Saccharomyces cerevisiae S288C: one gene and its partners. The gene in region 1 interacts genetically with each later gene. Each region holds a gene or a part of one and is shown in the gene's direction. Other genes may lie near its edges.

Evidence for each region.
Region 2: mutations in TRM9 (region 1) and COX8 together harm fitness more than expected from each alone (negative genetic interaction), as found in Saccharomyces cerevisiae (2 studies listed by BioGRID).
Region 3: mutations in TRM9 (region 1) and HAP5 together harm fitness more than expected from each alone (negative genetic interaction), as found in Saccharomyces cerevisiae (2 studies listed by BioGRID).
Region 4: mutations in TRM9 (region 1) and PNT1 together harm fitness more than expected from each alone (negative genetic interaction), as found in Saccharomyces cerevisiae (2 studies listed by BioGRID).

What each region holds. Positions count from the first base shown.
Region 1 is NC_001145.3:236,145-244,564, forward strand, and holds TRM9 (tRNA (carboxymethyluridine(34)-5-O)-methyltransferase), read left to right. Parts: upstream 1-7,080; coding exon 7,081-7,920; downstream 7,921-8,420. Other genes in the region: PSP2 (Psp2p), read left to right, coding at 444-447, 810-2,587; PPZ1 (salt homeostasis regulator), read right to left, coding at 3,314-5,392; TATA-binding protein-associated factor TAF11, read right to left, coding at 5,845-6,885; UBX2 (Ubx2p), read left to right, coding at 8,005-8,420. UniProt on the Saccharomyces cerevisiae protein: Required for the methylation of the wobble bases at position 34 in tRNA. Appears to have a role in stress-response.
Region 2 is NC_001144.5:904,015-911,833, reverse strand, and holds COX8 (cytochrome c oxidase subunit VIII), read left to right. Parts: upstream 1-1,868; coding exon 1,869-2,105; downstream 2,106-7,819. Other genes in the region: tethering complex ATP-binding subunit VPS33, read left to right, coding at 1-1,599; SUMO ligase CST9, read right to left, coding at 2,436-3,884; ATP10 (Atp10p), read right to left, coding at 3,916-4,755; ART10 (Art10p), read left to right, coding at 5,529-7,085; CCW14 (Ccw14p), read right to left, coding at 7,394-7,819. UniProt on the Saccharomyces cerevisiae protein: Component of the cytochrome c oxidase, the last enzyme in the mitochondrial electron transport chain which drives oxidative phosphorylation.
Region 3 is NC_001147.6:1,006,132-1,014,289, forward strand, and holds HAP5 (Hap5p), read left to right. Parts: upstream 1-4,029; coding exon 4,030-4,758; downstream 4,759-8,158. Other genes in the region: GDS1 (Gds1p), read left to right, coding at 1-574; CIR2 (electron-transferring-flavoprotein dehydrogenase), read left to right, coding at 1,090-2,985; SNX3 (Snx3p), read right to left, coding at 3,093-3,581; VTS1 (Vts1p), read left to right, coding at 5,058-6,629; 3',5'-cyclic-nucleotide phosphodiesterase PDE2, read right to left, coding at 7,110-8,158. UniProt on the Saccharomyces cerevisiae protein: Acts a component of the CCAT-binding factor, which is a transcriptional activator and binds to the upstream activation site (UAS2) of the CYC1 gene and other genes involved in mitochondrial electron transport and activates their expression.
Region 4 is NC_001147.6:819,074-827,148, forward strand, and holds PNT1 (Pnt1p), read left to right. Parts: upstream 1-1,949; coding exon 1,950-3,221; downstream 3,222-8,075. Other genes in the region: DSE3 (Dse3p), read left to right, coding at 1-1,085; RBL2 (Rbl2p), read left to right, coding at 1,381-1,701; putative serine/threonine protein kinase HRK1, read right to left, coding at 3,515-5,794; YOR268C (uncharacterized protein), read right to left, coding at 6,461-6,859; PAC1 (Pac1p), read left to right, coding at 7,312-8,075. UniProt on the Saccharomyces cerevisiae protein: Probably involved in mitochondrial export. Confers resistance to the anti-pneumocystis carinii drug pentamidine. May act by the removal of pentamidine, or its damage targets, from the matrix by an active-transport mechanism.

The sequences.
Region 1 (8,420 bases):
GAGTTGCAAGAAATAGAAAAGACTCCGATTGCGCATCGCCAGAATAAAATTTCACAACCACACTTTTTGGCTGAACTTTTTATTACCTGATTAAACAGAGAGAGAAAAGGTAGAGGTCAAAATTTTTTAAGCAAAACTAAAAAAGATGCAAAATCACGTGCTGAAAATCTAACATAAGGGTTAAGATTAGAGTTTTATAGGACTTGTTTTGTAATATTTCAAATACGAGCTAACCCTACTGATTTCAATTAGGTCTAATTTAGGGTTGAGCTGCACTGAAATTTCGGAAATTTTGGGTTATTTTAAATGAGACAGAAGAACTACAGAGATACGTTCTTCAGACTTTAAAGCTTATCTCCACAAAGAATTGGTCAAGAAATCATCCTAGAAAAACACGTTTGCTCACTCGATCTTAATCACATAGAGTGCTGGAACGGGAAGAAATGGGTATGTGCCTCGGTTTTTCTCATTAACCCCTTTTGATCCATAACGGTCCTCTTTTGTTTCCTTTTTTTTTTTTGTTTTAGTATTTTATGTTTACTATTTTCTTCTGTTTCAGTCATACGTAGGAATTATTGCATGAAAGAGGATATAATATTCATGTGGATTTTTAAGAAAATAGATCAAGTTTAAATAGCCACTAACAATTGAACAATGCTCTCTCTTGGCCTCTTTTCTTCTTTTTTATCGTTTCTCTAAAAATCAAGCTGATTAGACATGGTCTTGCAATGTTTTTGCTTTCTCTAATCAGCTTGGTTTTCCGCAAAGAAGAGAAAGTCACGGAATTGTCTACATATGTTTCTATTCAGGAACAAATAATACATCTAATAATAATGGCACTACGAAGAAAATGTCCCTAGAAGAATTTCTAGGGAACGACACTTTAGGCGAGTCAGTATGGGATGAGGAAGATATTAATTTGGATGCTATAAGCAATACTACGAATATTGACATCTTGAAACAAACCAAGGCAGGCGAACATCAACGTGATGGTCACCAACAGCACCCACACGGTGGTCATGGACCCATGAACAGATCACGTTTTTCTAATGCAGGGCCTTTTGGTGGTGGTAGCATGGGGGACTTTGCAAATCATCACCACCCGCTGCAGCATCAGCAAGGTCCTCCTTATATTGTGAAGTTTTCTGATTTACCACCGAGATTTTCCAACTTTGACATTGAAGATCTTTTTCAAGCAAAGTTTACCAAGTTTATTAAGTTCAAACTGTTTTGGGAGATAAATAAAAATCCAAGTATTTCTACTTTGAAATCGGGGTCAATCTTTGATCAAAATTTCAAACGTGACTCGAAGGTAGCATTTGTCGAGTTATATACATCCCGTGATATGGACAAAATTTTGAACTATTGGACCACTCCTTTGAAGGAAATTTACCACATTACAACAGCGCCCGCAGAATTCGAAGATTTTAAGGATTACAGCACGAAGGTGAAATTATTAACAGACCCTAAAGACGATGCTGGCAAACCATTCATTACTAAGACTCAGCGGTCAAAATCCAATCCTTTTGGAAGTGCTAAACCGGTTGATACGCAATCGAAGATTTTGGACATTGAAGAAAAAATGGAAAATTTACACGTGGAAGATACAACAACCCTGAGGGCATCATTAATCCCTAGTAGTGATTCTATGGCAACCACTGCAACAGGCAGCAAGATCACAATCTTGAAAAAGCAGACACCTACAGAGGAGGAATCACATTCTGCAACCCCAACTCCCAAACCTTTAAGTTACTCTGAAGTAGTTGAGAGATCTGTGGTCAATGAAACTTCCAAGAAAGGAACTCCATTAAGCAAGCTTGACTCACCAGCTCTTGAACTACAATCTAAGCCCGATAAATCGGACGAGTTCAAAGGTGGCGATGAACAAGGCTTTGAGAAAGGTGGCGACGATAAAGCTCAATTAGATGTCTCAAATGATAAAGATAAAGGTTCAGAAACCGATGTTGATAAACAGTTCACTTTCAAGAATGTGGAAAGGGAACATAGTATGAGCAGAACCAAATATAACGGAAACCATAATAACAATAATGGCAATTTTAGAGGGAGTAATAGATATCGTGGAGGCCCCAATGGCAGCAGTTATAAAGGTGGGCATAACAATCGTGGTAATCGCGGCGGATATCGTGGTGGCAGCTCATACAACAACAACAACAACAACACTAATGATAATAATAATAATAATAATAATAGTAGTAGTAATAATAATAACGGTTCAAGATATCATGATCGACAAAACAATGAAGAAGGGTTAACCTCGGATTCATCTTTAGATGCCTCAGGAAATAAAAAGAATGATTTCACGAACTCAACATCCAATACACAACAATATTCCATTTTCAAACCAGCAAGTGGGTTCCTTGGCCAAGGTAATAATGATTCTATAAGGAACAATGGACGCGGTAACTATAACAGCAGCGGTATGAATGGAGGTTCGAGAGGAAGAGGATTTGGCAGAGGAAGGGGATTTGGCAGAGGCGCATATAACAATCGAGGTAGTCGTGGTGGACGTGGAAGCAGCGGTAACTACTCCAACTACAATAACAGAACAACAGACATGCCTTTATGAGTCATGTACTGACCCATTAATTTTCTTTTCTCTTTTTTTTTTTTTTTTTTTTTTTTCCTCTATTTCCTTTTTTTGTTCTAGTCGGTTACGCAGTTCTGAGTAATGTAATATAGCGTTCCTTTTCCTCTCAGATTTTTTTGACCTTATTTTGTTTCCACTTTTTACTACTTATGCTGCTTTTTGTCCATTTCCCCTTCAGTTGTTTTGAATTTTTTTTTTAAAAAAAATTCGTCTTTCTGATTAATCAATTTTGATTATATATTTTCTCTTGATTAGTTCACAATTTTTATAGGCCCTTATTTCTTAAAGAAGTTTTATGAAGTTTCGTAAGTATTGGGGGGGTTGAAAATAATCTCTCACGTTATACGCAATAAAAAATTAAAATTAAGGAGAACCAATCTATAGAAACGAACCATTGAATTTAGCTATATGACTATATACCATTACGTAATTTATATAAACAGCTTAATATAGCGAAAGCAAAGTAGAACGAAATTTCGGAGAGTTCTAGATTGTATAGAGCGAATGAGCATTCAATACACACGCGAAGGCAGTAGGCGATGAAAGGAAGTTTTTTAATGTCATTAAGAAAAAGATAGGGAACTTCTATTTCCTGTCTTTCATATATATATATATATATATATATATATATATGTGCATATGTACATCGTTGAGTTGTTCATGAAATAATGAATATAATACTTCTGGATTTTTTAGTCAGTAAATTTACTGTTGAGATTCGTTATCATTTGTGATGCTTGTTTCCATCATTTGCTGTTGTTGATTAGCCAGTTTTCTTTCCTGTCTACCTTTCTTCATAACTTGCTTCAAAGCTGCACTATCTAGTGGATCTAACAATTCAAAAGAGCACAATAAACCTTCGCTGACGCTCATTACAGCCCCCCAATTATCAAATTCACCACAATAATTTGGCGCGGAAAACACCGTAACGAGACTTCTATCATTGAAAAATTCATAACCGTCTTCCACAACCATGTGAGCTCTACAAACCAAATCAAACCCAAACTTGTTCAAGAATTTGTTAATTGCCACCTTATTATAACAGTAACTTACACCACGTTCGTTATCCTCCCATTCGTTGGGTGAATCTGTGGGATCGGACCACAAAAGATCATTAATTAAGCCAAAATCTGGTACATCAGTAGGCCTAACTACATGTCTGATTTCATCCATAGAATTTAAAACTGGCGACAATCCACCATGAACACAAAAAATCTTTCCGGCTACGATAGCAGCTAATGGTAATGTATTAAAAGTATCGATGAATGTCTTCCAGATCTTGATGTTACAACGACGTTTACATTCATCATAAAATCCATAAACCCTTGTGACGTTAGCACATTCATGGTTGCCTCTCAATAAAAAGAAATTTTCAGGGTATTTTATTTTGTAACAAAACAATAGTAAAATAGTCTCCAGTGACTGTTTACCACGGTCCACATAATCACCTAGGAATAAATAGTTCGAGGATGGTGGGAACCCACATTTGGTAAAAAGCCTTAAGAGATCCCCATATTGGCCATGAACGTCGCCTACAATTTTTACAGGAGGTGATAATTCTAATAAGGAAGGTTGAGAAAGAAAGATTTCACGAGCCTTGATGCAAATCTGTAAAATTTCATTGTTCTTCAAACAAACATTTTTTGTTCTCTTAGCAGCGTAGCCCGCATCCAGTAATTTTTGGATAGTTTCATCAATATCGATAGGCTTTTTGAATTTTTTTGGAGCGTTTTTGTTTCCGGAAGATTGCATTATATCATTAAATTCCTCATTCGGATCTTTTTTGCTATCTGTTATATTATTATTTTTATCATTAACATTTTCCATTGATGCATGGATATTACTCAATTGAGATGAATTTTCAATGTCATCATCATTGCTGATGTGTTTGCTCGGGTAAATATCGCGACTTGAATGGTGATTCAATGAGGAGGTTGAATTAGAGGTAAAGTATTCACCAGAGTGATCTGTTAGCTTGGACAAGCCTGGAGAGTTTAATGGGGTGCTGTATGCGGTATTACCATCTGATCCAAACGAAGATTTCCTACTGTGTAGCGAAGATGCATGAGAATTTGACCGGGTTAATGCCTGAACGAGATAATTCTCCTGATTGTTAGAGGAGTATGATCCATTGTTAGGCTCTTCATGGGTCACATCTGATTTCCTTCTTGACACTGATCCGCTTCTTATACTGGACGGACGAGAATTCGAAGATCTAGAAAACCTTTTAGTGTGCGAGATGTCGTTGTCTTTATCATCATTGTCATCATCGGTTAAGGCGTTCTCATAATAGGTAGATGAGTATGAAGATTTATGCTTGGATACGTGTGTGCTACTATTGTTTGTTTTTAAAATGGGTGACTTGGGTTCCATTTGGATCATTGAAGGTGGTAAATCAGCAGCAGCCTTAGTATTATAACTTGATCTTCTAGAAGTAGAAGGCCTCTTAGTAGAGGATGATGAAGGAGTAGTTAACAATTCGTTTTGAGAATTTGAATGCGAGTGTGAGCTAGATGGGAAATGGTAACGATTCGTGTGAGAGCTATGTCGTTGGTGATTAACCTCAAGATTGGGCTTTGATGGAGTGGAGGGATCAGGGACGTTTGAATTAGTATTCGTAGTGGACGAAGAAGGAAGAGATCGCCTTGATCTTGAAGATTTATTTGATTTTGCAGACTTCACAGAATGGGAAGTCTCGGTTCTCGACACTTGAGGACGAGGATTTCTCGAGGAGGAATTCGAATGTGAATCCTTTTTCGAAGATTTTGAACTTGAATTACCCATTTTGAAAAGGAAGGAAAGATAAGCAGAGAGTGGTTGATTTGTTGTTTTATGACAAAGCCTCTAGGGGAAAAGAAGCGACTATAACGATGAAATAAAAATAAAACGATAAAGAAAAGTATAATCAAATGTATTCCAAAGAAGTACTTTTATATATAATCTTTATATTTAACTTGAAAGAAAAAGATTTAACATGTATTGCCAAAACAAACAAAACTAATAATGGAAGCTATTGTATTGTGCTTTTATGTTACCCACCTGCCAATGGTTCACAAGAGAAAGCTGATTAACAGAATTAGAAGATCTGCAGTAATCGTTTTCTTTTTTTTTTTTTCATTAATTTATATGCTATCCTTTTAAAAATAGACATGTCATTTCAAACGACATGTTAAAAATTATATATATGTTTATATATAGATTGATATATGTTGGAGCCGTTGGACAATTATGGGCAGCTATCTGAACATGGATCCCTGCCCTTCTCCTTGAGTTCTCCAGTAAGCGTTAGGCAAAGTGTCCGACTGCAGACGGTAGAGTCTCCACGCCTCACGGATGTGTTCGGGCAATAAGGGACTGTTGTTATATTTCTCGATGCTTACATCTAGTTTGTTGAATTGGAGGACGAGCTTATTGTACTGCTCGATGAGTTGTAGCTTCAAGTCCTGTGAATTATGGTCTGATTGCTGTAAGGATTTGGACTGTAGCAACGAGTTGCCCAGCGTAGTTTCGCGCTTGTCTACTTCTTCATCGTCGAAGTAGAAATCAGGTTCGTCTTCGGGAACGCTATCGGATTGATAATCTTGCTTGTATTGCTGGTTTTCTATGATGGAGAAAGTCAATTTTTTTAGATATTTTTTCAATTTATAGCCTATTTTGGTCCTCTTATCAAACTCTATGCACATTTGACTTGTCAACCACTTATTCTTCACAATCATGGCCAATTCGATTATCTCACCAGCGTATATTTTTCCCACCGCTTGCAGAAAAACACGAATATTTTCACTTATAGTTTGATTAGCTACTGTGCTAGCCAGTTTTTTGACCTGGGTTTTGTTTAGGGATGTTCTATGGAAAACTTCAAACCGATTAGTTTGATCTTTATCCAAGTTGGTTACCAAGAGCTTGAATTGTTCGTCCTGCGCAAGTTTTTCATTTTCATCTTCGTTGGTATTGGTGTCTTCGTAATTGCTATTTTGTGTTTGCTGTTGTAAAATGTCTTGTGGAAAGATCAGGTTTTCTGGGACTTTGTTGATAGAGTCCGGGTCTTGCTGATTTATCCTGGTTTTCTGGTATTTGTATTTTGGATATTTATTTAATTGGTTGTTGATTGATGTACCACCCGTTCGCAGGTTTTGCAATTTCCACGTAACGTAGTCCTGGTCCTCACTGATGACTTGGTCAATCATTTGTTTTGTGGAAAAATAGTTTGCTATTGTCAGTATTGGCGGATAGTTCACTTTCGGGATGGTGTCCAAAGGACCTTGAGGTTCGGTCATCGTTGCGCTGTTGAAGCTCAAACTTACTTTGTGCTCTTCATTTATATGGATAATTATCTCTATATACCTCTTCTTGATTTTTCAATTTCTTTCAACTTTTCAGTCGAAGAAATGGGAATAAGAGAAAAAATTCGGTAATGAACTGAACAGAGATGAGGTCTCGAAGAGCCAAGAAATAAAAGGTTAAGAACCAACATGGAGATAAACCAAGCGGCTGAAAAAGAACAGGAGTATGTTCACAAAGTGTATAATGAGATAGCTCCGCATTTCTCGCAAACTAGATATAAGCCATGGCCCATAGTGACTCAGTTCTTGAAGACTCGCCCAATGGGTTCCATCGGTATCGACGTCGGGTGTGGCAATGGAAAGTACCTCGGAGTGAACCCTGATATATATATTATCGGTTCAGATCGCTCAGATGGTCTTATTGAGTGCGCCAGAGGAATAAACCCATCGTACAACTTACTGGTGGCAGACGGGCTGAACTTACCACACAAAAACGAAACATTTGACTTCGCCATCTCAATTGCTGTAGTGCATCACTGGTCTACAAGGGAGAGACGTGTTGAGGTGATCAGGCACGTTCTATCGAAGCTACGTCAGGGCGGACAAGCATTAATATATTGTTGGGCTCTAGAACAGGGCAGCTCCCGTAGAGGTTACCATGAAGGTATGGAGCAAGATGTCTTTGTCCCCTGGGTTCTTCCCAAGAGTAAATCCAAACCAAAAACTAAATCAACGCCGCCTGCTAAAGTCAAGACAAGGCCAAAGCCAAACTTAATGAATATTCCCCCAAAGGAGCGTTCCGAATACTTGCAGCGCTGGAAGGAGGAACAGCAACGCAGTAAGTCTCTTGATGATAACGACGAGAAGCAACAACAAGATCAAGAACAGGAAAGAGAAGAGGTAAAATACCGATACTATCACTTATACCGAGAGGGCGAATTGGCTGAGGATTGCCGCCAAGCTGGGGCTGCCGTTCATAGTGAGGGCTTCGAGCGCGACAATTGGTGGGTGGTGGCCCAGAAGAGATGAAGGTGATATATAGGTAGACAGTGTATTTTGTAGCAGCAGGTATTACGATAGAAGTATGTAATAGCTTTCATAGTGTAATCGAAGATGCCAGTAGTCAATCATGAGGATAGTGAATTTCACCTTTCGCACACAGAAGAGGACAAGTTAAATGAGTTCCAGGTCATCACGAATTTCCCCCCAGAAGACTTGCCAGATGTGGTGAGACTGTTGAGGAACCATGGTTGGCAGTTAGAACCAGCATTGAGCCGATATTTCGATGGAGAGTGGAAAGGCGAACCAGACCAGATGGGAGAGCCCACTCAAACGTCTACACCCATGGCTGAGACCTTGGTTCCTCCCGCGTTGGGACCTAGACCGTTGTTATTTACAGCCTCACTGCCCGTGGTCAGACCATTGCCAGCGAACTTCCGCAATGATTTCAGAACAATTGGGCTAAATGGACGCTCTAACACTGTGTGGTCCATGTTTGAATCTTTTAGTTATGATGGTAACCCCTTTCT
Region 2 (7,819 bases), on another chromosome or scaffold:
GAATATACCCTTTACCCTTGGGATCTCTTGCCCTTCCCACAGATTGATGAAAATGTTCTATTGACTCATTCCCTTTATAACATGGAAAATGTAAACATGTATTATCCCAACTTACGTTCTTTGCAGAGTGCCACAGAGTCAATACTGGTTGATGATATGGTCAATTCGTTGCAGAGCTTGATTTTTGAAACTAATAGTATCATAACAAATGTTGTGTCGATAGGTAATCTGTCTAAGAGATGTAGCCATCTTTTGAAGAAACGAATCGATGAGCATCAAACAGAGAATGATTTATTCATCAAGGGTACGCTTTATGGTGAACGAACCAACTGTGGACTAGAAATGGACTTGATTATCTTGGAAAGGAATACCGATCCTATAACGCCATTGTTGACACAACTTACGTATGCAGGAATACTAGATGATCTATATGAATTCAATTCTGGCATAAAGATAAAGGAGAAAGACATGAACTTCAATTATAAGGAAGATAAAATATGGAATGATTTGAAATTTTTAAATTTTGGGTCGATTGGGCCGCAGTTAAATAAATTGGCAAAGGAACTACAAACGCAATATGATACAAGGCATAAAGCCGAGAGCGTACATGAAATCAAAGAATTCGTTGATTCCTTAGGTTCTTTGCAACAAAGGCAAGCTTTTTTGAAAAATCACACAACCTTATCATCCGACGTTTTGAAAGTGGTAGAGACTGAAGAGTACGGATCTTTCAATAAAATCTTAGAGTTAGAGCTGGAAATTTTGATGGGAAATACACTTAATAACGACATTGAAGATATTATACTCGAGTTGCAGTACCAGTACGAGGTTGATCAAAAGAAGATTCTCAGATTAATCTGTTTATTGTCTCTTTGTAAAAATTCACTTCGAGAAAAGGATTATGAATATCTAAGAACCTTTATGATCGACTCTTGGGGCATTGAAAAATGCTTTCAACTTGAATCATTGGCTGAGTTAGGATTTTTCACTAGCAAAACGGGAAAAACTGATTTGCATATTACAACAAGTAAGTCAACAAGATTACAGAAAGAATACCGTTATATTTCACAATGGTTCAATACAGTACCCATAGAAGACGAGCATGCTGCCGATAAAATCACAAATGAGAACGATGACTTCTCGGAAGCCACTTTTGCTTACAGTGGTGTAGTGCCCTTGACAATGAGACTGGTTCAGATGTTATATGATAGGTCTATCTTGTTCCATAATTATTCCTCGCAGCAGCCTTTTATACTGTCAAGAGAACCTAGAGTTTCTCAAACGGAGGATTTAATTGAACAGTTATATGGAGACTCACATGCGATCGAAGAGAGTATATGGGTCCCGGGAACCATTACAAAAAAGATCAATGCAAGCATCAAGAGCAATAATAGACGGTCCATAGACGGATCTAATGGGACATTTCATGCTGCAGAGGATATTGCACTCGTAGTATTCCTCGGAGGTGTAACAATGGGTGAAATAGCTATAATGAAGCATTTGCAAAAAATACTAGGTAAAAAAGGTATCAATAAAAGGTTTATCATCATCGCCGATGGCTTGATCAATGGCACAAGGATCATGAACTCTATATCTTAATTATTATATGATAGATTTGTTAATTTTTTGTATATGCAAATGTGCTTTTTTTCACCAAACGGTTTGCACCAATCATACGAGAGAAGTGTTCGGTGTTTACGGAAAAGCTAGGGGACTAAGAAAAATTGAAAATAAAGGCTGACAGCAGTAGAAACCATTGTGCTGGCTTAGTGATTTATAAGAATGGTTAATTAGTTTTGTATCCTTTAATTTTCTAGATAGAGCCACAGAGCAAACTAAACAGAAAAGTTATCCATTTCCATTACGCAATGTTGTGCCAACAGATGATTAGAACGACAGCTAAGAGAAGTAGCAATATCATGACCAGACCTATTATCATGAAGAGGTCAGTACACTTCAAAGACGGTGTGTATGAAAATATCCCATTCAAAGTCAAAGGAAGAAAGACACCTTACGCCTTATCTCATTTCGGGTTCTTCGCTATTGGATTTGCTGTTCCATTTGTTGCCTGCTATGTTCAATTGAAAAAGTCAGGTGCTTTTTAAAACACCCCCATAAGTTTGAAGGATAGATGTGTGTACATAGCGTGCTTGGTTGAGACGTTTTAGAGTGTGTTCTTTGCTATTCCTAGGTGCGCATATCATCGTTTTATTTATTTGTACAATTTTCTTTTCATATATTCATAATCCTCTCCTTGTGCCTTCGTATTGAGACGGCGGGAAAGAAGGATCTAAGAAGAACATAATTCGACAAATTTCTTCTAAAATAATACCATATATAGTAACACATAAGAAAATAGAATAACTTTTATAATACAGTAACATACTCTATCTATTCTGAAGGCTGTTTTCGTCACGGGGAATCCTTACACCTATTTACCTAATCCTTCTAAACTTATTGTTTTTCTTGCTACTACCCAACACAGTATTACTTGAGCGAGGTGGCAGATGATTATCACTCTTCAAATGTGTATTAGTCAGTTGCTGAGTTGAATTGGACCGCTTTAGTATATTTGATTTCGGCAGTTTACTTTGTTGCAATGAGTTCGATGAAGATGAAAAGGCAAGACCACTGCTTCTTACGTGTGAGCTCAAGTTGTGTGTTATTCTATTCGAACCGCTGATAGTATTATTTCTCTTCCTTGTTATTTTTAATTTTTCTAAAGCTGAGGGAAACTGCGTCGAGGTACTTGTTAAAGGTGTATTTGAATGATGCAATTCTTTGAGGTTACTATTTGGTAAAATAAGCCTATTTGATGATGAAGATAGAGGCGAAGAGGGTTGGAGAGAAGCTGAAGATAATCTTGATATATTTTTGGAAGATACAGAGCCATTATTCGTGAGGATGTCAAGATTTGGCAACTTTCCATCGAAGCCTTTTGCAACACGCACAGGAGAGAACGAAAATCTGTTCAGATTGGTTGATTCTGCAATAGTCGAAATATTAGGTAGATTACTATTTGCGTTTGGGTTCATTCCAGGAGGAGGAATGCTATTTCTATTAGGATTATTCAATGTCTCCATAAAGAGAGGCTGGTTTTTATTTACACGACCACTTGTAGAGGGAGTGACAGTTCCATTGTTATTTTTTGAAGAATTTCTCAAAGAAGAGTTTTTTTTCAACTTTTTAATAAAGGATTTGGCTTCGAATTCTTCTAAACTATTATCATCAACTGTCAGATCAACGGTTGGAGGGGGCTGGTAATGATTTTGATGGCTATTTCTTGTTGGTAGCACACCAACTGACATCGAAGAAACATTGTTATGATTCAAAACTGACTCTAATTCCTGTATTCTTTTCTTAAGAATCGCCATAGAATCCAACTCTATTTTGGCCTGATATAGCAGCTGCTGTTGTCTTGCACATTTTTCTCTCAACTTTAAACAATGATTTTGATAGTATTGACACTGTTTCGAAAGCCCATTCAGTTGGAATTGGGAAACATTATATAACGACTCCAAAAGTGGGGGCAGTGGCTCAAAAAAAATCCTAATGTCGGTAGGCAGCTGTTTAGATTCCACAAGGTTAATGATGGAGATATCGCTCGAACGGCATATAGGACACACCTTTGATGTTAATGGAGAATGCTGCGAACAGAGGATATGAGCACATGAGGTCAGCCTCAATGGATCTCCATGCGATGTTCTTCTGTGGCAAACACCACAGTAAACAAAGGGCTGTTCAAAAATAGAATCCGGCATTATATATTTCTTTGGTGATATCAATGATAAACGTCTTACCTGTTTCAAGCACTTTTGTTTTTTCTCTCTCATGCTCTTCGTGTTAGTTTGGGGAATGAACACGATCGCCAAATAGCCGCCCATCCCTTGTTGGCCGCCGCACAAAGCGTCAACTTCACAGACGTTTGGCAAACTTCCACAATGCTTCCTTTTCAGATGGAGTAGCCTCCCCGCAAGCTGCCCACCTAATTTTTAACTGCTGGTCCACAAGAAAGACGTATCCAGAAAAGACATTATTGCAAAAGAGCTCTTCCCTGACGGAAAATGGCCATTGGCCTCTAGAACATTCGAAATAAAATGGCTGGCGCCAGGATGGAACGCGATTGGCCCAACGAGCAAGCGTTTTCACTAGAGCACTTTTCACAGCGTTTTCTACAAGATTGACCTCGATGATTTGGACGTTACTGTCATTTAAACTTAAACGCGCATCAGCTTCAGTCAAGTAGTCAGTTTTTTTGTTATCGTCTACGATTCCTTGGAAGTATGAACTACTCAACTTATCGCCAGATGCTGTACTAAATAACCTCACTATACTGGTTTTACCCCTTAACATATCCTCGATATTCTGTTGTTTCGTACCATCCATTGCCGTTCCTATCAAATGAGGAAAAAACAAAGCTTTATCTTCTTTCCAATATGAAACTGGAGCTATAAACAATTTCCCCTTTGTCTTTTGGAAGACTTGCACGTCATAAAGTCCAGATTTGCTGAATTCAACGGCCAACTCTTTAACTCTGTGGTTTGTCTTTTCCGAATCAAACATATCCCTCAAAGAGTTCCCCTGGGAGTATTTGGTGCTTTTCCTTGGTGCTTGTGTTAAGCCTATTGGCTTGACCAGTTGTTTGATCTGGTATTCCTTTGGGGAAGCCGTTGCCATCATAGGCTTGAGGAATTTATCCAAGAAGGACATCCGCGTAAGCGTGGGATGGTAAAACCTTTTAAAAGTGCCCTGCATAGTTAGTTTAAGTTACTCTGATATCGCAAATAAACAAATAACCTGACTTTTACTATATGCTGAAATAGTCCTTTTTAAATATGCACTCTTCCATATTTTTCTGAAGGCGAATCAAATAAATGGTAATAAAAATTTAAATTTCAAAAACGATTTCTAGGCAAGGATATTGTGCGTAAGGAACAAAACAAACGTTTATAGTAGTTTTTATATAGCTGCATAGTGATGTGGCGAGAACTATTAAATATTTCTTACTTCGAAGTTTTATGTACATCGCCTCTGCCTTGCCTTTACACTTTTTAAATTCTTGATTCTGCTCTAGTACAATCTTCACCACTGTTACAAGATCAGGCGTCTCTTTACTAATACCAAGAAGAGGGTGAGATACATGATATTTTATTAAACTGATATTGCCTTGGGTCGGCTGTAATGCAATTAGTCAGGTGGAATCTAATATCACCTAGGGCCTTGGTGAAAATTCTCAGCAAAATGCGGGTTGAGGGTGAGAGAGGGTCCTGGGGAAGGTGCACGCCCTTTTCACAAGAGGTGCGTAAGAGAGAAACAAGCCTTCGACTCTACAGCCCTTCTAACACCGCCACTCAATCAATTAAAAGCAGTCGCACCCATCCAAAAGTAGAATTACATAAACTAGAGGAGAAAAAGCAGCCAGTACAAAGGAGAATTACTTCATTGACCAACGGATATTCTGTGAGTGTTTATATTTAAGATTCTGCTTTTGATTAGAGAAGGTTGAGAACCATACAGTTTGTCAAACCATGGCTCCAAAAATTTCAATATCCTTAAACCCACCGTACAACGGGGAGTTTTATAGCTCTAATGATCAAATGTCAGGGATAGTTAGTCTTCAGTTAACAAAAGCGCTATCTATAAGGAAAATTTCCGTCATTCTAAAAGGATTCTCAGAGACCTTAACAAAAATTGATCAAGAGTACATGTTTCAACAGAATGGCATGATGATGCCGGGCCAAGACAACAAATCCTTTCATACATTAATGAAATTCGAACAGAGAGTTTTCCCTCCAGATAATGTATGGAATGCTCTTGATGGCTCCTCCAAGCCGTTCAAAGTTAAACCAGGTTCATATAATTATAGCTTTCAATTTGACAAGTTTCCCAGAAAGCCTGAATGTCTGAAAAATCATACGGCAAAGACAGTAGCGTTTGTGACAAGAAGTAATGCCCGACTCCCACCTACGTTCAATAGTCATTGGCAAGAATTTAATAAAATCGATAATCTGGATTTGTATTTTTACTCTTTTGGAAAAGTTATATATATGGTGCAAGTTCAATTAGAGCTAGGGAAATCTTCATCTTGGTTTAAGCCATTCCATAAACTGATAAGGGAAATCGAGACGTTCGAATTTATACCTGAGCCAAAAGATCTTATTATAGAACCTGATGAAGATGACAATGAAGAACTTAATGCCTTCAGTAACAATAGTAGAGGAAATAGTATGGTCACCAACAATGAATTTTTCAATAGTTCAAATTTAAAGGTGCCATCAAAGGACGTCAAAGTCGTTAATGGAGTCGGATATATAAAAAGTGACAGGAACTTTTCTCAAGCTAATTCTATATTGATAGAAAACGGCGACATTAGATCGAGACCGGTATCATCAGTCACATCAACAAGACAATCTACTCGCCTAGTAAATGGTATGAAAGTTTTCCCATCTACTTATAAAATGGGGTTGCCTGATGGGGAAAGCAATATGAGAATAGAGGTTAGAAGTCGAGATTTGAAGCAAATATACAGGAAAGACTACTTGTTTAGGTCTGGCAGCCAAAATTTTGACAAGGTCTATGTAGTCATGGAGGGGAATATAGCAAGTTTGAGCAAAATGCAAATTACCCCACTTAAACTACAACTGAACTTGCTAGAGACTACAACATATTTATCTCAGGGAATAGCGAACGGCAATTACTCTTCTTTGAAGCTAATCGAGATTGATTTGAATCAGCTCAAATCCAATAAACCTCTTTTGGACTTAAACGAAATACGAGAAAATTTTGATGGTTCTATGTTTGAATGTGAATTACGGTTAAAGGATCACCCCATTTTAAGAAAGTTGGTATTTAATGAAGAAGACTATAGACATCGCGGCAATAGGTTGTATAGTTTCAAGACATGCACGATAAAAAGAACATTCAGTTTACAGCTACTGATAGAATGGGGAATCAATGGAATTAGGAAGCAATCTGAAGTAAACATTGATCCTGTTCAGATCTTTTGTCAAGTTAGAGAGCACGTTGAAGCTGAAGCTCTGCCCAGATATGTACCGCCACCGACATATACTGAAATGGCGAGTTAAGCGTCGCCAAAAATATTCTGCAAACATATATATTCATGCACATGTGTAACAATGTAAAAAACTTTGAAATGAAAAGAACAAGGAGCTGATCGAAAAAATATTTTTTTGATTTTCATTTAATATAGATTTATATACTTTTATTTGCTCTTTAAGAGAAAAGAAGTCGTAGTGAACTGGAACATAACGAAATAAAGAGGAGTTTTAAAATGTTTTTTGAAGAAATAAAATCATCCGCATCATATAAGAAGAGGAAATAAGAAATATAAAAGATAGATACCTTAACCCATTAGAAATAAAGTGATAGATAATTAGATTAACATAGCGGCAACAGCAGCAATGAAAACGGATTTTCCTGCCTCTAGAACATTACCAGAACCTTCAGAGAAAGTAGAAATAACGGCGGTAGAAGTTGGTAGAGCAGAGGAGACTGTTTCTTGGGACACGGTCGAAGAGGCAGCACTGGAAGAGTGAGCCTCGCTAGTGGAGGAAGCTTGCTTGCTCGAAGAGACATAAGTGGAAGAGGATTCTTCACTGGAAGGAGCCTTGGTGGAAGAAGAAGAGGAAGAAGAGGATTCGGTGGAAGAAGCCTTGCTAGAAGATGGGGCAGCGCTGCTGGAAGAAGCTTTAGTAGAGGAGGAAGCGCTACTGGAAGAAGCCTTGGTAGAGGAGGAAGCGCTACTGGAAGAAGCCTTGGTAGAAGAAGAGGCCTTGCTGGATGAAGAAGCGGATGAGGA
Region 3 (8,158 bases), on another chromosome or scaffold:
AGATACTAACGAGTCAATGACCGAGCCAAAGAAAACCAAAACTACTAAACCTGGCAAACAAACAAAATCCCAATCTTTATCAGTTTTATCCACCCCCAAAAAGGGTTCCTCTGCATCTCTTTCTACATTTGCAAGCTCCAAGAATATTTCGCCAGATTCTTCTCTGTCGCATAATGCATCGTCAAATACTTATGTTACTGCCGCTGCCGCTGCACCAAGGCTTTCTAAGCTTTTGCCGAAAAATGGGTTTAAGAAAAATTCACGTAGCTCTTCTGAACTGGCTGCTATCCATAAAGTAATCTCTACACAGACTCCAATTGAGAGCTCTTCAGAGAGCTCTCAATATAACAGTAGTAGTAGTTCACCAGTTAATAGTGCAGCTGCTTCTTCTGCTGAATCTTTATCCGACATCAATTCCAGTCAGGATAACGGAAGAGAATCAAACCCAAGTTCCCAAGAATCACGAAACGAAGTTACGAATTGGATGAAAATTGTGAGAAATGGATTTTTGACACATGATATTGAATCTCCTGAATCAATCACATTAGATGACCTAGAAAATATATTCAATTGATTTTTATCTCCCTTTACAAGAGCATAACGGCTGCTCTACACCTATGTCGTTGTTTTTTTTTATCAACTAATAATATGTGTTCCTCTCATTTGGACAATTTTTAGCTAGTTCTAACTTTCACTACAATATTTAAATAAATAAACAACCATAAATAAATAAATGAAAAACAACTAAACCGTTAGAGGTGGACTAATTTACTGTTAATGACAGTAATTTTTTTTTTTTTGGCTGTTTTCGGTTATTCCGGATATATATGGATTGATCTTCATTTACCCCACAGTTAGTTTATCCGAAATTTGCGGGAAGCTTTATTTTTTGTTACCAATGGATCGCGATTTGCCATGACTGTAGAAAAGAAAAGGTTAACTGAAAAATTCAACTTTTTCAAGCGGACTGAGTAGTAGTGGTCCCCACTTAATTAATTTATTCAATACGTTATATACTTACTGTTACTTCAGGCCACATAAAAGAACAAACTTAAGCTAGACAGGAAAATCCACTCTGGGAAAGGGAAAATGATTAAGTTCACTAACGAGAACTTAATTAGAGGGATCCGAATGACGATTTCCGCAAAATCTCGTCATTTGGCTCTAGGGACAGATATGACGAGAAAGTTTAGCTTGTCGTGTAGGTTTTTGAACAAAGCAAATCTTACTGAAGAAGAGAAAGAGTTGTTAAATGAACCAAGGGCGCGCGACTATGTGGATGTTTGTATAGTTGGAGGAGGGCCTGCGGGATTAGCAACAGCAATCAAATTAAAACAGTTAGACAATTCGTCAGGAACAGGCCAATTGCGTGTCGTTGTTCTTGAAAAATCCAGTGTATTGGGTGGACAAACTGTTTCCGGCGCTATATTGGAACCGGGAGTGTGGAAAGAACTATTCCCTGATGAAAAGTCTGACATTGGCATTCCGTTACCAAAGGAGTTAGCTACGTTGGTAACTAAAGAACATTTGAAATTTTTAAAGGGGAAATGGGCGATCAGCGTTCCAGAACCATCTCAAATGATCAATAAAGGACGTAATTATATTGTCTCTTTGAACCAAGTCGTCGGATATTTAGGAGAAAAGGCAGAAGAAGTAGGAGTTGAAGTTTACCCCGGAATAGCTGTCTCGGATCTCATATATGATGAAAACAACGCCGTTAAGGGTGTAATTACTAAAGATGCTGGTATTTCGAAGTCCGGTAAGCCTAAGGAAACCTTCGAACGTGGGATGGAATTTTGGGCTAGACAAACTGTATTAGCAGAGGGCTGTCATGGTTCCTTAACAAAACAAGCCTTGGCAAAATATGATTTAAGAAAAGGCAGACAGCACCAAACTTATGGATTAGGTATTAAAGAAGTTTGGGAAGTCAAGCCGGAGAATTTTAACAAGGGATTTGCAGCTCATACCATGGGGTACCCGTTGACAAATGATGTTTATGGCGGTGGTTTCCAGTACCATTTTGGTGATGGGCTGGTCACTGTGGGCCTTGTCGTGGGGTTAGATTATAAGAATCCCTATGTTTCACCTTACAAAGAGTTTCAAAAGATGAAACATCATCCATACTATTCAAAAGTTTTAGAAGGAGGTAAGTGTATCGCTTATGCTGCAAGAGCATTGAATGAAGGTGGACTGCAATCTGTACCCAAGTTGAATTTCCCTGGTGGTGTTTTGGTAGGGGCTAGCGCGGGTTTCATGAACGTTCCAAAGATCAAGGGTACTCATACTGCGATGAAGAGTGGATTACTTGCCGCTGAAAGTATCTTTGAGTCCATAAAAGGGTTACCTGTCTTAGAAGAGGTTGAAGACGAAGACGCCAAAATGGCTATGTTTGATAAGGAGGCAACTATTAACTTGGAATCATATGAAAGTGCATTCAAAGAATCATCGATATATAAGGAACTATACGAAGTGCGTAATATTAGACCGTCCTTCAGCGGGAAACTTGGTGGATATGGTGGTATGATCTACTCTGGAATCGATTCTTTGATATTGAAGGGAAAAGTTCCGTGGACACTGAAATTTGATGAAAAAAATGACGGTGAAATTTTGGAACCTGCTTCCAAGTACAAACCGATAGAATACCCCAAGCCTGATGGTGTGATATCCTTTGATATATTGACCTCCGTGTCTAGAACCGGAACCTACCATGATGATGATGAACCATGTCACTTGAGGGTTCCTGGACAAGATATGGTAAAGTACGCCGAGAGAAGCTTTCCCGTTTGGAAAGGTGTTGAATCGAGGTTCTGCCCAGCAGGTGTCTACGAATTCGTCAAAGATGAAAAATCGCCTGTGGGTACGAGACTGCAAATCAATTCACAAAATTGTATCCATTGCAAGACCTGTGATATTAAGGCGCCCAGACAAGATATTACTTGGAAAGTACCCGAAGGTGGAGATGGACCAAAGTACACGCTAACTTAATCACAGGATTCATTATTTATTTAATTATTTTATTCATTATTTATTTAAATTTTTCTATTCATTCTTTTATATAATCTATATTATTTATTCACGTAAAAGAGTTCTTTTCAGCCGACAAACTTTTCAGCTTCAATGAACCTCACGAGAACTTTAGAACCAGATTGTAAAAGCGGGTGCCCGGCTACCGATTGCATCCAGGTATTCAAACCTTGTCTCCTCTCTTCAATGACTTCGTTACTAAATCTATTACTCAAGAGAATTTTACCCGGTAAATGAGGTACCATGACTTTTGGGTGATTAAGCATAGAAATTTCCTTGATCAAGCATTTGCGGAAGAATTCAAAGTCTGAGTATCGTCTCCTTACTTTCGATACCCTCTTGTGAAAACTTGGCAAGTTTGTACGGCATATTATTTCGTAATCTGTAAACATCCCCTTCGAATCCATCCCATTTGGTATATGAGTTTTAGGGTTGTGCACCTCAATCTCTAAAAAGTTCTCAGGCTCAGCGTATATTTCGCTGTAACTAGGCTCTCCATGTCCTTTTGACAGCAAAGACTTTTCTGTAGACCCAAAGGATTTGAATTCTCTTGGCATACTTTGTGTAGATGCGTACCGCTTCTCAGCTGTTCTTGCCGTCCTCTTTTATGCAGTATTAAGATCCGTTTTAATCCATTCATTCATTGCAGGTTTACATATCAATACATATCACTTAGTACGTGATAGTGCCCAAAGCTATCCTCGAGTTCACTTATGCAATTCTGAGCACCCCATAGCCAAGTCCTCATAGTAAATCATGGTCCCTCCTAGCGCAATACTTACTAGAGTGTAGAAATCCCGAAATGTCAAAATCGAAGAGTGTTGTGCTCCCTTTTCCGTAGTTAAACTTAAATTTGCGTGGGACGGCTCCCTTAAGATTGCTTCCGGAGATTAAGCTTCCTTAGCTGCTATAATACCGCGTAAGCAAAGAAGAAGAATAGAGGGGAATAGGAGATAATGTAAGAGTTGTGACGCATTTGCAGCATCAGGATTGTTTACTCGCATAATGACTGATAGGAATTTCTCACCACAACAAGGACAAGGACCTCAAGAATCGCTCCCGGAGGGACCGCAACCCAGTACGATGATTCAGAGAGAGGAAATGAATATGCCAAGGCAATATTCAGAACAGCAACAACTGCAAGAAAACGAAGGGGAAGGGGAAAATACGAGGCTACCTGTTTCTGAGGAAGAGTTCCGGATGGTACAGGAGTTGCAAGCTATCCAGGCGGGCCATGACCAAGCTAATCTACCGCCAAGTGGTCGAGGATCGCTTGAAGGCGAAGATAATGGAAACAGCGACGGCGCAGACGGAGAAATGGACGAGGACGATGAAGAGTATGATGTGTTTAGGAACGTTGGTCAGGGATTGGTGGGCCACTACAAGGAGATAATGATCCGTTATTGGCAAGAATTAATCAACGAGATCGAGTCTACGAATGAACCTGGTTCCGAGCATCAAGATGACTTCAAATCACATTCCTTACCATTTGCGAGAATCCGCAAGGTCATGAAGACGGATGAAGATGTCAAGATGATTAGTGCAGAGGCCCCCATCATTTTCGCCAAAGCCTGTGAGATCTTTATTACAGAACTGACTATGAGAGCTTGGTGCGTGGCAGAAAGGAATAAAAGACGAACTTTGCAGAAGGCAGATATCGCAGAGGCCCTGCAAAAGAGTGACATGTTTGACTTTCTCATCGATGTTGTGCCTAGAAGACCTCTTCCACAATGAGAGAGTTAATGGTTATACAGCTGCCATTTGACCGTGCACCACAGCAAATTATCTGTTGGAAAAAGAAAAAACGCAAATTTTTTTCATTATTTTTTTCCAGAATAAGTTTGGTAGCAAATTGGCGATGAGATATCTAACAACGACTACTACTACTACCATAGGATTGTCTCGAATACATTGTGTTTTGCAGTCACACTGGTACTTCGTCCCTTGGGCAATCTAGATCACTGTATATACTATAGATATTGTTTTCAGAAGAGAAAAACTGTTCATATAAAGTAATTGTCAGCAAAGAAATCATGAAACATCCGTATGAGGAATTCCCCACAGGTTCCAAGTCACCATATAACATGTCTAGAGGAGCTCATCCAGGCGCCGTTTTGCTATCACCACAATCTTCTGCCATAAACAAGAACAATCCGGGCAGCAATTCTGGCAATAACCAGGGCAATTCATCCGTGACCGCGAATGTTTTGTCCCCTCAATCCCATAGTATGTCACTCAATGACATGCTTGATCAGCAATCCTTTATGCTAGACACTGCGGGAACCAGGGCTCAGCCGCTCCAGCAACAACAGCAGCAGCAACAACAGCAACAGCAGGCGTCGTTGCCTTCCCTTAATATTCAAACAGTTTCGTCTACAGCAGCTGGTTCTGCTATCGTTTCCCCCATGATGCAATCTCCAAAGGCGTTGCAATCTACTTTATCTTCAACATCTATGTATTTGGATTCATTTCAGAGATCTCCAAATAATATTTTGGGTATTCCATCGCAGAGTGGTTCAATTCCTTTGCCGCAATCCCGTCAATCGCAACAACAGTCTCAATCCCAAAAAAACGATCCGAACATGGGCACCAATTTCAGCCAAGACATCAACCAATTATGTTCTTGGATATCCATGCTGAACAGCAGCCAACAAAATACTGTAATGGACAATATCCTTTCCATTTTGAATGATGATGTTTTGAAATATACTAAGTTAAAAATAGAGACTTTGACAAACACTCCCTTCATCTCCCCACCGCTACCTGCAATTGCATCACCTATACCTAATAGGGATGACACACAAATTTTGAATATTGATTCAGTCTTTTCTTCAAGTCCTATAACTAATGACCCTGAAAATACCGATAACTTGTTGTATCAAAATTGGTCCCCTCAGCCACATTCAATACCAATTAGCCAACCCATATATGACAACATCACCGACGCTAGTCAAAGGTCCAAGTCGGCTGAGCCTCATGTTAATTCAAGCCCAAATCTCATTCCTGTCCAGAAACAATTCAACAACGGTAACAGTACCAAATATAAAAAGTTGCCATCAGAGAATCCCAACTATCTTTCTCACTCTCTCTCAAGTTCCCATTCTTTTTTCCAACCAAAGAAAAGGTCTAACATGGGAAATGAGTACAATTCTCATCACCATCATTCATTGCATCATCCTCTGCATAATACCACCTCATATTTTTCGAATACTTCAAGACCATCAGGAACTGATTTGAATAAGTCCAACCAGAACGTGTTCAATAATACCATTACGCATCCTAATGCTGGTCCTACAAGTGCCACATCGACATCTACATCATCTAACGGAAACACTCCTTTATCGAGTAACTCTTCGATGAATCCAAAGAGTTTGACAGACCCCAAGCTACTAAAAAATATACCCATGTGGTTAAAATCGTTAAGACTACACAAGTATTCAGATGCCTTAAGCGGAACCCCGTGGATCGAATTGATTTACTTAGATGACGAGACTTTAGAAAAAAAAGGCGTTCTTGCCTTGGGTGCAAGGAGAAAATTGTTGAAGGCTTTTGGAATCGTTATTGATTACAAAGAACGTGATTTAATTGATAGATCTGCTTATTAAATCTGGCATAATAAAGTTGATTGTCTTGACGTTGCATAAAGATTTAATTTTTATTTACTTTGCATATACCAACACAGGGAACATATTTCATTTATTTTGTAATTTTAACGTTTTCTTTTATGGAGTTTAATATTTTAGATTACACCTGTTTTTGCACCGTTTAATGGCATAAAACTATTTACTTAACTTTTAACTCGGGAAATATGTATCACTATACTAAAAAACATTAATTTAATCAAAGAAAAATAAATTTAATGTATGTATCTATATATATATATATATATCACTTAAAACAGACAATAGCCATAATCAACTGGGTTATTATTATACAATATTAAAGGAAGAACGCATATTTGAAAAAAAAATAAAATGGGTAATGAATTTTAGCACAAATACTTCACAAAAGGAAATATACTAGTAGTAAATGTATATATTTATATGTTTATACAATGAATGGTACAAGAAATTTTGATATTCTTGCTATTGTGGTTTCTTGTGTTTCATCCAGTATTCTTTATTGATTTTGACATTATCGCTTAAAAATTTTAATCCTGAGAATTTTTGACTTAATGCGTTGAAAAATACTTCAGCAAACGTATTAATGAAAAATATTTGACCGTTTGGAATATGCGGATGGTCTTTGATAATATCATCAGGGTCTGTTACGTTCACCAAAATATTTTGAATTGATTCCAAATCTTCTTTCGGAGAATCAACATTCTTGTATGAATCGCCAAAACAGTCTTGTTCTGGGCGGTGAGCTTTATGAAATGTTTCCAAAAGAGCGCAATCATTAAATTCGAGAGTAATGAGGTATGCCCAACGTGCTGATATTGACAAGGTTCTCGTCACATTAGAGATGTCTGCAGCTTTAATAATTAGAGATATCAAAGTGATTTGTTTCATTGGGTTTTCATGCATTAATCTATCCTCATACTGAGAATGCAATGCCATATCTGTGGCCAGAATAGCCTCGGAAATAAAATCAAATTTTTTTTTGGAGATAGATAGCAATTGAGGCCAATGCTCTGATAGCAATTGTTGAAATAATTCCCTGTGAAAATTCTCCAAGATAGAGACATTTTTGAAATTTTGAGCAACCTCTGATTCACAGTTGCACAATAGTTGATTGTTAGTCCCAGGATGACCGACATCATGACCTATGGCAGCCATACACAACAGTAATGTTTGTACAGGATTATCTTTAAGAAGATATGTACACAATCGCCATGTGGCTTGCATGACATCGATGGCATGCCTAAAATTGTGAAATTTGTTAACTTGATGATAGGATGATTCTAAAGTAAATAGTAGTAGCAGTAACTTATTATCTGCAATGAGTACTTTTGCATCCTTAGATAACTTTTTGATAAGCGTGAACCCGCACCAAATCAATTCTTGAGTGCTTAATGATAAAGCACAAAAGTCCCAAGTTGATAGAATGTTCCAATAATGTGATCCCTCTTGAGAAATTTTTTCTATTGGATCTGACAAAAAAGACATAAACTCGATGTTGCGAATTAGCCTTG
Region 4 (8,075 bases), on another chromosome or scaffold:
TAGAGTCTGTTCCAGAATTGTTCTTACATGATTTCAAGAAGAGGCCACGCTCCCAACTTGAGGTGATTAGAGAGAAAAAATTTACTGACATGCAAGTTCCCAAGGGACCAGTTTGTCCTCAAAGCACGATTCTACCATTACGAGAAAGAAAGAAGGTAAAATCACTACCAATTCAAAGAAAAAGTTTACGTAGGCCGACGCTGTCAAAGCCTGCAGTAGTACAATCTTTAGGGCATAAGACACATTCGGATCATATTATTGATAAAGTGTTTGTCTCTCGCCCGGCCCCAATTGTAATGCCTGTAAAAGCCCTTACTCCTATTAATCCGGTCTCCCTAATGCAAACACAGACACAAGATTGCTGTAGAAAAAATAAGTATGGCAAAAGCGGTAGTGAAATATTGTTTGACGAAATTCTATCAGCCTATGAAAACGTTTCTACAAGCGATTCTACTGCCCTAAATTCAGAAATTGACAGAATTATCGATATATGCGCTTCAAAACAAATAGCTAAAAAAAATGAGGCATTTCAGGTACCATATGTCGTCTGCCCTGACGACACAGAGACTTTGTTTTCGTCAACAACACCAAAGTTGAAACCTGTCAATTCTAACACATTAAACGATGTCATTTCTAGCCCAGAATACACCACGTCTGGATGCAGTACATACTCTGACCAATCGAATTCAGATGAGGAATTGTCCGAAGTAGAAAGTATAGTATGGAACACGAATAAGAGGACAATGAGATCATCCATTGTGTCTGAAAGCACTAGTGAGGAAGGCTATTGCACTGCTGCGGAGACTTTGCCCTCAACAGTATCAGTGGAAGATCTGGATATACATAACAAGCTTCCAAAAGTTGCACAAACATCATCGTGCAATACGCTTTTGAATAAACTCTCTATAAGAAAATTAAAAAAAGTAATTCTCGATCCGCCTAAAATAATGCATGTCATGACTTTTGACGATGACAGTGATGATGGAGATGACAACGATGACGAGGATAGGGCTTTGAATATTCTTCAAAAAAAAATTGACTGCATTGAAATAGCAAGTTGCAGCAGTAGCATTTACAGCGAATAAAAAAATTTATTCTAGGTTTCAAGTAAAATCATACGTATATAAGTAGAATAATGGCATGAGCGGTGACACATTGTGTATTTGCACCAGAGGTGGTCATCAATAGAAAAGTGTCACAATTTCAACGATAAATGGCCGCTTATGTCGCACCTTTTGTAGTATTACCCGCAAAGGATCATAATGAAGAACTACTATGGCTACATATAAACAGAGCAGTTAGATACAGTGCGTCTTATAAGGGCATTTTTGAGCATAAAGCACAACAGGTTGAACTCAAGAAAACTACATTTCACTATCAATGGCACCCACACAATTGGATATAAAAGTCAAGGCCTTGAAGAGGCTGACTAAGGAGGAAGGGTACTACCAACAAGAACTGAAAGATCAGGAAGCACATGTGGCAAAACTTAAAGAAGACAAGTCAGTTGACCCATATGACTTGAAGAAACAGGAGGAGGTCCTTGATGACACAAAAAGATTATTACCTACTTTATATGAGAAGATTAGAGAATTTAAAGAGGATTTAGAACAATTTCTAAAAACTTACCAGGGTACCGAAGATGTCAGTGATGCAAGATCCGCTATTACGTCTGCACAGGAATTACTCGATTCTAAATAATCTATAGATAACCTTTTTCTTACCTTTTCGCATTTATTTTGATGCAGGTTTTTATACTTTATTATGTACAAACCTGTTGCGGATGAATAATAAATCTCGCTAGAAAATGCACGGAATATTATATGCAAAAGTAGAAAAGTGGAAGACGGCTGTTGATACAGTGACGAGATATAAGAACATTTTACTCTATATTTAAAAAGAACTTTATTAATCTATTTAATTGAGTTAACACCTTTAATGCCATCGATATGGATTCTCGAGTTGCACTGGTACGAAAATACATAGCACCATCGGTGATAAAAAGCGATTCTATTCAATTGCACGGTTTAGTGAAGGCACCACTATTTAAAGCGTTGAATAGCCGTTACAAATTAGGTTCACTACAGATAGTACAGGATGTCGATTGGAATGCGAAGACAACACCATCCGATTCTCCAGAGCCTCTGGCCGCTACTCTAAACTCTAATCGATCCCTACCAATGACTAAGTTCCCCAAGCAGGAGATCTTGGAACAGGTAAAATTGGATACTAAGGTTGGCAAATGGAGGAAATTCATGACAGGTTGGTTTAGAATTGGATTGTATCTTTTAAAAAGCTATAAAACAGGAATTCAGAACACGTTAAAAGTATTCTGGGATACTCGAAACGAAGAGCAGAAATTCAGCATAAAAAACGGTGCATTGGCTAACTTAGTACGGGAAATAGAAATGCATGAAATCAATACAAGACTATCGTCTTCATCATTGCCTACAAGTTCTTCAGCAAAAGCCCCATTAAGGCCACTTTCAATCAATAGGAAAACACTGGTGGAACTGATCAGACGAGATCAAATCTGGAAATTACCTGTATTTTTCACCTTAGTATTCATATTTGAGGAGGTAAGTGTATTGATCTTTACCTTTTTTCCACGTGTCTGTCCGTACAATTGTTTAACTCCTGGTGGATACAAGAAGCTTTCCAACTCATATATCAAGGGAACAACAAGCACACAAGGTAACTACGGTCTGGGTCCCTTAGAGTTTACTAAGCAAGGTACAATTAAGTATGAGCCACCATATGCAGTTCCTATTGAGAATTTGTATAATTTTCTGACAAGCTTTCCTCAAAGTATGATATCAAACTGGAAACTGTATATTTATAAAAAGTTAAAATTACAGAAGCTACTTTGCAATGAGATAGAAAAAATTTACCAGTATCTGTTTATCGATGACTGGTTGCTGTTGCAGAGTATACTCAACACTGATGTTGAGAAAACTAAAATCGCGCTAAGTGATAGAGAATTGGTTAACTGTATACTTGAAAGAAAACTTTATCACATGGGCGATGACTTGAATGAGATGGTTAATGACACGTTAGGGAAAGAAATCTTACTGAAAAGATTGTTTCTTTATTGGACATTAAGATATAATGACACTATATCCTTAAACGGAAAGCATACATTCAGTGAGAAATGGGGTGTCAACAATATATCATTGTTAAAATATAATTCAGAATTGGTAGCTACGAAAGATATTCAATAGATGTAAATATTCATGACATTATCTATGCTGTACATATTGTTTAAAACAAAAACTCTTTTAAACTTTTCTAATTGCAAATTCAAACAATAATTCAGTGATGTTTCTTGCTTTTGGAGCAAAGGGCAATGTTACTCTATATTGTATGTATAATATGATAGATACTCTTCCGTATATATAGTATATAGATTTTCGTCAAGCGTTTCAATTGGAAAGTGAAAGAAAAAAATAAGAAAAAATAGAAAATACAATTAAATTAATCGAAAAAAGAAGTGAAAATAATTGAGTAGTTCGTATTAAACCTTGTAGGTCTCTAAGTGAGCATTTTCCTCCCTAACCAATGTATGGTGATGGCCAGGCGCTCTAATAACTTTATTTTTTGAATCCATGGTACAGGCAGCAATGGCGGCAAACCATTCATCATTAAAAATATCATCTAAGGTTGCTCTTTTCTTTGGATCTACTTGCAGTATACGGGACATGATAGGTCTTGAAGCATGTGGTAGTAGACGTAATAGACGGTATGGGCCATGAATAATTTTTTTATGGTGAGGTCCTCTGTGCTGTTGACTCGATTTATTATCGGAAGCGATACTATGGGCCTTGTCTTGATTTTGATGCTGGTGATGATGGTGTTGTTGTTGTTGTTGTTGTTGTTGTTGTTGTTGTTGTTGTTGTTGTTGTTGTTGTTGTTGTGGATTGTTTTGGGGAACCATATCAGGGTTAGCGTTGGCAGCAGTGTTGACGTTAGTATCAACTTTAGCGTTACAATCCGATTCATTGCTGCAGTCATTGTTAGCATTACAATCCGTTTTGTCATTGCAGTCACTGTTAGCCTTGCAATCCACTCTGCCGTTAGAGTCACCATTAGCATCGCAATCAGCGTCGGCATCGGCATCTACTTTCTTTGGGTTAGCTGAAACTACCGTGCTTTTATTCTCATTTTTGCTTATTTTAATATCGATGGTACTTTCCTTGTCATTATCTGGCGTGCTTTCTTTATCATTATTGCTATCATCTTCTTTATTTTCTTCGGTTTCTTCTTCCACAATGTCTGGTTTGTTATCGCTTTTACCCTGTATAGATGCTGGAGTATTTGGAACTTGATTTTGAACTGTTTTCAAGTTTGATTCATGAGCTGGTTGTTGCTGATTGATGGCGGAACAGTCACTGTGATTCAAAAACCTTTGACGCTTTTCTTTTCTTTCCTTCAGTAACTCTTCGTGATGCCTGGCAGATTCAACATAGTCGTGTTCTATATCATCCGGCATACAATATAATCTAAAATTATCGTCAGAATCTCTAGGGGCTTTCCATGGAAACCTTTTAAGCACCATACAACAATATATGATCCCAATAGACCATATATCGACGCACTGAGGATCATAAGATTTGGTGGAGGTAATCACTTCCGGCGCTAAGTAAGGGTCACTACCCACGATTCCATGAGCCATCGTTACGCCATCTTCAAAAGGATATCTGAACACAACAGCACTACCAAAATCAATTAATTTCAAAATACCCTGGGAAGTCATGACACAATTATCCAATTTCAAATCTCTATGTGCCAATCCCATAGAATGTAAATATTTAACACCTTCAGTCAATTGCTTCAAGCAACAGTTGATCTCGCCACGAGACATCTTGCCTGTCATAACAACAGCAAAAAAATCAATCGGACAGTACTCCATAACTTCATAGTATTTATTTTGTTTAGAATCAGAGAAAACGTCAACAGTTTCGATAACATTTGGGTGATGTAAAGTCGAACCAATACAAAATTCTGCGGTGCACTTCTTGGCATATTCTTTCACACTCTCATTCGGTTTCCTTGGTCTGAATTCTTTGACGGCAAAAGTAGCACCATCAGTTGGTCTCACAAGAACTTTAACGGACCCACCGGCACCGGAACCCAATAACTTACCCAATTTCCCGTATTTTTGAGCCAGAATACAATCATCGTGATATATATTAATATTATTGGACAAAGATAGGATAGAATCGGTACTTGGCGGTATAGCAGACTGGGTATGAGCATAGTGGTCTGTAAAGCCATGAGGATGCTGGGCACGATAGTGATTATTTAAATTAACTGTAGAAGTTGATTTTGAAGGTGGGGGGGAATGGGTGCTATGTTTCTTGGAACGAAGTTGAGACATAGATAGTTTTTTATTTACAGAAGGTCTGAAAAACCTTTTCAATTCTGCCATGGAGTGGGTTTGTTTTGGAGAGGCGGGAGAAGTATAGTCATGGAGCCCATGAGAAATATTATGGTGGTGGTTTGTTTCATAGTTATTATTGTAGTTGTTTGTTGAGATACTGGTTGCATTAGAATGGCTATGGGTGTTGTTATTAAGGTTTGTTGTAGTATAATTTGTAGTGGTTGTGGTAGATTTCATGGAATCTGTAGATTTCTCGCTTCTTAGTGAGTCATTACTTTGTTTTCTACCAATGAAGTTTAAGAAAGATTTAGAACTTCTGATCAACTGTGGCGGGTTATTAGACGAATTTTCACGGTCATGATGATGGTCATTATGATGACCATGGAATGGGTTTCTCGACAATAGATTAGGCATCTTTATACGAGAAATAGTTCTACCGTATTATTATAATTATTAGTGTTATTATTTTTGTTTTCGATCAATTCTAGCGGAGCTACAATGTGGTAGTCAAACGCTGCTATTGTATTTAATTCCGGCTCGAGACCAGTCTGGAAAGTCGACGTATATCGTTACTACTATCCTTTTTTTATTATTCCTACTATTTCCTTATTGAAAAAGTGGAAAACTGTTAAATCTGGAAATTCTTCACGATTCTAGAAAAATAGGAGGTGAAGAAGATTTCTAAGCTTTTTGAAAAAAACGGGAAAAGGAAGAGGCCCAAAAAAGTGAAAAAAAACTGTGTGTGTGAAATGTAAACGAACTTTGCTCCCTCTAGGAAAAACTTCTTTAAGCGGTTGGGAACTGTCTTGGGCTTACTTGTTTGTAAACAGTTGTATGAATGATTCTATATGCTAATTCTCAGTTTGTCTCTCTTAAAGATTTGTCACTCTGAAATATATAGCCAAATAGAACTAGGCGAAGAAAAAGAAAAGGGGCGGCGACGACGTAGGGGTCAGGTAGAAGAGTTGGGCACTTATTGGCGATATAAAAGACAAAATACACTAATGCAAGAGTATGGTGAGCGAAAGGAAAATAAAGAAAGGCTACGTTATTGACGGATATATGAATCAAGACACAAGACTATTTTGTATAGTAAGCAGAACCGGCTTGTGTTTGTGATTCATGGATCAACGAGACGGTAGCGAATAAGCACCAACGGAAAAAAAGAAAACATACGCATACATGCACGTACAAGATAAAAAAAGCACAGGTGTGGTGGTAGTATTGGGATAACCAGGCACACGCTACTGCGAGATAGCAAAAGACCCTTCCCGTAAACCGCTCGGATAAACCGATTTTGTCCTTTAGCGTGACACGGATTATACGCGGGGATCCGGCGTCACAAGCCACGGCCCGTCCCGTCCGCGTGGTTTTTAATTCTGGCTCCGCGTAGTACATTTTGTAGCTTGCCTTTTTTCCGGCTTCTAGAAAACTGGAAAAACCATAAGAAAAAAATGGGAAGGGGAAAACAAAAACCATTCAGGTCTTGCGTGCCGAGAATTTTTTTTTTCTCTTTTTCGTTGTCAACTTTTGCAGTAGCAGCCGCTGGCGACCCGGACGGTAGCCATGGCAACGGTTAGCTAATGGTAGGTAAATAAAACGAGTAACGACGTTTTAGTATATCTTGGTAAACTACAATTAGATCTTAAAACGGTTCCTGAAAAAGTGCTTTCATCTACCATTGAATTTAATTCACTTCCCTTTATGGAATTTGCACTGGTTTTGTGCTGTGGGATGTGGGTGTTTTGAAATATTTTCAGCTTGCAAGTCGTGCATATTGCACTTGTTTCTTATTTTTGGCGAGTGTAAACGTAATAGGTAATCTTAGTATTGGGCCATCGTCGCCCAGATAGCCATTGATAAAGCAGCTAGGTTCGTCGTCCGGTTGTTGGTATACACCTGTGCGTGCGTAAGTGTAGAAAAAAATAGAAATGACTAACTGGCAGCAACAGCTTCCTTTAACAGATACACAGAAAAATGAACTCGATAAAAGTGTCCTCCGATATTTGAATTGGAATTACAAACAAACTGTACGACATGAGCATGCTCAAGATTACGAAAGTGTTCGACATGCAATTGTAACTCTATCAGGTTTTCTGTTGCAAGAATCAGTGGACCGGCAAGAATTCATCAGTAACAATGACACCAGTAACGAAAGTATGGTAGACATTGATGAATTACTGCTACCGAAGAAGTGGAACTCAATTGTTAGACTACAAAAAAAAATCATTGAATTGGAGCAGAATACAGAGACCCTTGTATCTCAGATTAAAGATTTGAACACTCAAGTGTCAGAACTAGCACAATTCAAACCTACCACCAGTAACGGCACCAGCGCACATAATGTTTTGAAATGGATACCGAGAAATCTACCAAGCTGTTTAATTAATGTTGAATCATCTGTCACTTCCGTCAAACTACATCCCAATTTGCCTATAGTGTTTGTGGCCACAGATCATGGCAAATTATACGCATTTGATTTATTTAACTACACCATCCCTCTGGCATCCTTGCAAAGTCATACCAAGGCAATTACCTCCATGGATGTTTTATTTACCAATTATACGAACTCCAGCAAGAAGAACTATTTGGTGATCGTTACCGCGTCTAAAGATTTGCAGATTCATGTTTTCAAGTGGGTCTCCGAGGAATGCAAGTTCCAACAAATTAGGTCTTTATTGGGCCATGAGCATAT